2 linked regions of the Sus scrofa genome follow. The protein of the gene in region 1 interacts with the protein of each later gene in a biochemical or structural test. Links are inferred from orthologs where the notes say so. Each region holds a gene or a part of one and is shown on either strand. Other genes may lie near its edges.

Region 1 (3,500 bases):
AAGGTTTCACTAAAAGATAAATTTGCTCATTGCCACATAACAGAATCAGGGCTGCTGAGAGTTCCAGCTGACTTCTAATAACCATCTGATCTGCTCTCTGAGTTAAACTGGCTTTAAATGTCTTGGGTCTTGGTTTTGTTATTTATTTATTTATTTATTTATTTATTTTTGGTCTTTTTGTCTTTTCTAGGGCTGCATCCGCGGCACATGGAGGTTCCCAGGCTAGGGGTCTAATCCGGGTGTAGCTGCCAAGCCTACGCCAGAGCCACAGCAACGTGGGATCCGATGGTTCTTAGTCAGATTCCTTAACCACTGAGCCATGACGGGAACTCCGTGTCTTGGTTTTAAAATCAAAGTCAGGGCTTTTTTTGTTGTTGTTTCTTAGCTTTTTGTTGTTGTTTCTTAGCTCTGTTTTACTGAAAATGCTTCTGTTTTCCTCCTATCTGTACTTAAAATACTGGCTTACTAACAGTTCACTTGTGTACCAGGCACTGTGCTACGTGCTTCCTCGGGTTATACTTAACCTTTACCATTTCCTGTGAGACCAGGTACTTTTATTATTCCACCTTCCAGAAGGGGACACCTCTGAGTACTAGGAGGTTCAGCATCTGCACAAGGTGACATGTTAATACAGCCAGAACTTGAACCTAGGCAGTCTGACTCCAAAGTCCTGGTCTTGAGGGCTGTGATAAACTATTCCAGTCAGTTTGCATCCTCCCAGCTGAGTGATTTCATTATGATTGTTGTGGGCATTTCCATTTAGTTCTGTCATGATCAAATAATGAGCCAAATTTCTAAAAATTCCTCATTCTTTGCTCAAGGCTCATCTCCTGGGATCACCATTCGTACATGGGACTGGTGCTTGTTCAGATGACTGGTTTAGTCAGGCTTTTATATATTACTACTTTAGCATCACTTCATAGTTTGTTTTCATTATCTGTCAGCCTAATAGAAATAAATTATAATGATTTTTCTCTAGTATCTTTTGTACAGTTATAAAAATATATGCTGATCTTCAAGATGGAATAATTATGCCTCAGAGTTTCTGAGTTCAGATGTTATTCTTACAGAGCAGACAGCCTAGTTTTTAAGCACTGGGACTATCGATGTTCTTTCTAGGCTCTACTTATCCCATTTCAGATTCTCTGGGCCTTTTGAGATCCAGAAACAAATGGCAGGAGTGCTGAGAGTAGCAGGAGTGGACGTTTTCCTGGTGCTGAGGAGGGCAGTAGGATTTGGTCATGAATATAATTTAGGTAACCTGATTTTTCAAATATTTAGGTATTTCTCACTCTTGACTGATTTTCACTTGGTCCCAAAGTCGAAACGCAAAAAGTGATTCACCCCAAATTGATAGACTAAGTTATTAGATCATTATTTCACCAGATTTAATTTAGGCTCAAGAGGGAAGGTCAGCAGAGGGAATGAGCTCACTGCGGGTCACCTTGTATGAACTCAGCCTTCTTATTAGTGATACCGAAATGTAGACTTTGTAACTAAGATTCCCAGACTGACAGGAGCACTGTAGCCATGTTAACTCAGCACAGAAAACTTCCCCAGAACATCCAGATAATTAAAGGGAGAAGGAAGGAGGATGAGAGGGAGGCGAGGGTCGGGGAGAGGGGGAGGGCACTGATTTATAAAGGTAATTTCCTCAATACTGTTCTTTTTCATCTTTTATTTTATTTATTTATTTTTTGCTTTTTGGGGCCTCATGTGTGGCATATGTAAGTTCTTAGGCTAGGGGTCAAATCGGAGCTCCAACTGGCCTACGCCACAGCAACACCAGATCTGAGCCATGTCTGTGACCCATACCATAGCTCACACTGATGCTTGGATACTCACCCTGCCTAGTGAGGCCAGGGATTAAACCCGAGTCTTCATGGATACTAGTTGGGTTTGTTAATCGTTGAGCCACAATGGGAATTCCAGTCAGTACTTCTATTTTTTTTTGTTTTGCTTTTTTAGGGCCACACCTGTGGCATATGGAGGTTCCCAGGCTAGGGGACTAATCGCAGTTACAGCTGCCGGCCTACACCACAGCCACAGCAACGCCAGATCTGGGCCGCATCTGCGACCTACACCACAGCTTACGGCAACGCTGGATCCTTAACCCACTGAGCGAGGCCAGGGATTGAACTCTCATCCTCATGGATCCTAGTTGGATTTGTTTCCACTGTGCCATGGTGGGAACTCCAATACTTCTCTTAAATATGAGAAAATCCTTGTATCAAAACAAGGAGATTTTACTAGGAAATGATGATCATGTATTTTTTTGTGACTTTCTTTGTAAAATAATTACTAATTCAAAGGAAAAAACTAAAGTGAGATGCATAATTAGCAAGAGAGGTAAACCTTTGACTGTGTAATGGTTTGATCTGAGCATTACTATTGGAGCCAGAAACTCCCAGCATAGAGCCAGACTGTTTTACAGTGGCTTTAGGAAAACCCCTTTTTTCCCTTATGTTATTTTCCTGTTTTTGTAGTTAGAAAAGCCACAGTTCACTGCCATTTCTTATTGTGGTTCAGACTTGCATCCCAGTAGTGCCCTTGACTAAGTAGGAACTTAGCCAAGTGTCACATGATTTTAGATCGCTTTGCTAACTGTAAAGGAATGTAGAAATGTTAAAACATATCTTACTACCTTTCTAGGTAGACTATTTAATATTAAATAAATTAATACTAATATTAAAACATATCTCACCAAGTTTCTAAGTAGAGAAGTACCTTTGTGCTTACATGAAATAAATACCGTCTTAGTATCAACATAGTATCTTTAATTTTACAATTAAAGCTTTCCTGTTTATTGAAATGTCATCCAATGTGTCCATTAACTATCATAAATATTATTAATTCAGCTGTGATATAAAAAATTATTTTTAAGTATCATGTGGGCATTGGGCTTTAAAATGCTTTATATATAATGTGATTAGACCAATAGCGTAAGCAGCCATAGTTTGGTAAGCTTTGGTATATTTCTGTAGATACTTGTATTTTCAAGAATGTTTGGTGTTACACCTTTGTTTCAGTGATCGTGGTGGAGAAGACCCAAACCAGAAAGTAATCCATGGGGTTATTAACTCCTTTGTTCATGTTGAACAGTATAAGAAAAAATTCCCCTTAAAGGTAAAAAGCCTTCTTTAAAAAAAAAAAATTAGACTTTTAATTTCTTAAGTTGCTTGTTCTAATTTTTAAATATGATTTAATTGATTTTAGTTTTATCAGGAAATCTTTGAGTCTCCCTTTCTGGCTGAAACAGGAGAGTATTACAAACAAGAAGCTTCAAATTTATTACAAGAATCAAACTGCTCACAGTATATGGAAAAGGTAAGAAAGAAAACATATTATATATCAGGCACGGTGTTACATAACATTTTTATCTTAGTTAATATTTTTTTGTGGAAAAATTTCTGGTTTGTTTGTTTAATCATTGTACCTGTTGATAAGCTGTTGTTCTTGCTGTGCCTGTCTCCATGAGAAAAAGTGCTATTCCAATTTTC
Region 2 (2,767 bases), on another chromosome or scaffold:
ACCACAGCTCAGGCAATGCCAGATCCTTAACCCACTGAGCAAGGTCAGGGATCGAACGCACAACCTCATGGTTCCTAGTCAGGTTCGTTAACCACTGAGCCACGATAGGAACTCCAATGAATTTTTAATATGAGAAGTATTTGTTTACCTGACAATCCATATTTACCAACAATCTGTCCCAGTTCCTCTGACAACCCTAAGAAACATTAGCTTTATTTGGAAAATAAGTAGAAATGGGTTGTTGTTCTCAGAGAGGTGAGCAGCCTTAGAGCCCGGGTGTGAAGGTTCTGCAGCTCAGCGACCTTGCTGCCAGCAGATTGGACTTTGCACCATTCCAGAGCACCATCAACTGTTTCGATGACTGGGTTTTGCTTTTAGTTGCTCAGAAAGTTAAATTTGTAGACTGCTTTGTTCTCTCTCTTGTATTAGTTTGCATTTTTCTTTCTAAAGGACACAGTCATCCTTTCATTTGAGTTTTTCTTGTGTTTGCGCTCTCCCAACCCTTGGCTCAACCCTCCTTGCTTTTTATGTACTTGCATTGTTTTCTAATGTTCCCAGTTTTAGTGGGAAGAATTTAAAAATTGTTGGACTAGGTTTTATTTTTAAATCTTGATACAGGAATACTTCACTTTAAAATATGCATGTGGTGGAGTGCCCATTGTGGCGCGGCGGTAACGAATCCGACTAGTATTCCCGGAGGATGCGGGTTCAGTCCCCGGCCTCACTCAGTGGGTTAAGGATCCGGTGTTGTTGCCGTGAGCTGTGGTGTAGGTCGCAGACGCGGCTCGGATCCCGAGTTCCTGTGGCTGTGGTGTAGGCCGGCAGCTGTAGCTCTCATTCGACCCCTAGCCTGGGAACTTCCATGTGCTTTGGGTATGGCCCCGAAAGGCAAATGAATAAATGAATAAATGATACATATATATATGCACGTGGCATATGCTTGACTGGGAAGAAAACTATTTCACAGCTACTGCAAGTTCTTTTGTGATCAGATTCAAATTCTGAATGATTGGAACAGTCACTCTCTTCAGCAGCCAGAGCGCCTGGTCCGAGACGGCTCGCAGCACTCAGCAAGGTCAAGTTGAGTCAACCCACTGCTGCGTGTGCCGTCAGGCGACAGATGGCTTGACAGCGAGCAGGCTGTTCCCATCAGGGGCTGTTAATGGGAGCGCCTCTTTATTTAGCACTTACTTTGTGCCAGGCTCTAAACGAAGGGCTCTCCATCAATTGTCTCTTTTAATCCTTGCCACATCTCCGTGAAATAGGTGTTAGCCCCCCTTTATATAAAAAGGCTTTGGCCATACTTAAAATTGGGGTGCTTTGATGGGCTTGTCGGTTTGTGTTGAGCCCCCCAAAATGTTTACATCCTGAAAATCGTCTTCTGAAGTTCTCCTCTTGCTCGCGCTCTCTCTCACCCTTGTCGGCCGGTGAGAGAGTGAACCTTCGTGCGCTTTATTAAGTCGATGGTTACCAGCACTTGCAACGGTCCCGTTTGCTCATTGTGAGCGTCAGTAACGTCTGTTCCTTTTCCCTCTGTCAGCAATCAAAATATAAAGTGATTAACAAAGACCAGTGGTGCAACGTGCTAGAGTTTAGCCGAACAATTAACCTTGACCTCAGCAACTACGACGAAGATGGAGCGTGTAAGTACAGCGCCGGCCCGCTCCTCCCGCGTCGCCGCCCCTCTGCTCATCTGCCTCGTGAGAATCCTCATGGCCGTGTTTTTTTCTCTCTCCCTCTCTCTCTTCAGGGCCAGTTTTGTTGGACGAGTTTGTGGAGTGGTATAAAGACAAGCAGATGTCCTAGGACTTTATGCATAGCAGCGAGAGAGTCACTGTTACCACAGTTCTGTCAACCATTAGCCATAAATTGCTGTTTGTATCCAAGCGCATGCTGCTTTTCTTGCACTGTCTCCGTTTGGCAGGGACATGTTGGTGTTTGCCATGAATGGGCCAGCTCTGCTTGCTGTGTAGCATTGTTCTCTTGGAAGGCTGCTTTGCAGTTTGTATTTACACTACAGATTGGTGAATTTGCCAACGTCCTCACTGTGATGATGTGTATATTGCTGTTTAAATTTTGTATATGTGTATAAAAAGAAAAAGCTTCACCTAGAGATTATTTCTGCAAAAATGTAAAATAATCTTTGTGGCATATTTCTAGTCCCTTTTTTCAAATGAACCAGTTATACTTTTATTTGGTCTCAAATGTAGCATTTCAGAAGACAAGACAGAACAGCGGTTACCATATGCAGGTGTTGCCAGAATTCACCTTGTTGTTTAAGAGGCCAACTTGTGGAAGGAGGTGGGAGTCATAACTTTTCAGAGGCATATGCCAAAAGTAACTTGGTTTACCTAAATATTAGCATTTTTAAATGATGAAAGTTAGAATAATCGAACCACATAGACACATGCCACGCCACCAATCATTTCCGCCACGCAGGGTATAGGTTTTGATTTTCTAATGTTAAACCTGTCATAGTTTGAATATAGGTACAGATGAACAAATTGAAGTTGCACCTTCTCCCCCCCCCCCCCCCCGCATTGGTTTTAAACTCTTATAAATTTTTTTTTTAGTGTTTTTTTGTTTTTTTCTTTTGCATTCTTTTAGTCAGTGTTTGGTCTGCTGATGCTTTCAATGCCATTCTAAGTAAAATTTATTTTGCTGCCTCCATGAAAACCTAATGGTTTGCTGGCAATTTGTCACCGCAGAGCACTTTTAGTTGTGGCTTGAATTTTTAGTTAAGTTTTCATGGTGTCTAATTTGTGAA

The links.
Region 2: of the proteins of CUL2 (region 1) and DCUN1D4, one has a biochemical effect on the other in vitro, tested with the Homo sapiens proteins (2 studies listed by BioGRID, with this or other methods). The link is inferred for Sus scrofa from reciprocal best matches to the Homo sapiens genes CUL2 and DCUN1D4.

What each region holds. Positions count from the first base shown.
Region 1 is NC_010452.4:57,731,889-57,735,388, reverse strand, and holds part of CUL2 (cullin-2), read left to right. Parts: intron 1-3,029; coding exon 3,030-3,126; intron 3,127-3,216; coding exon 3,217-3,327; intron 3,328-3,500.
Region 2 is NC_010450.4:39,055,685-39,058,451, forward strand, and holds part of DCUN1D4 (DCN1-like protein 4), read left to right. Parts: intron 1-1,540; coding exon 1,541-1,643; intron 1,644-1,750; coding exon 1,751-1,806; 3' UTR 1,807-2,767. UniProt on the Homo sapiens protein: Contributes to the neddylation of all cullins by transferring NEDD8 from N-terminally acetylated NEDD8-conjugating E2s enzyme to different cullin C-terminal domain-RBX complexes which are necessary for the activation of cullin-RING E3 ubiquitin ligases (CRLs).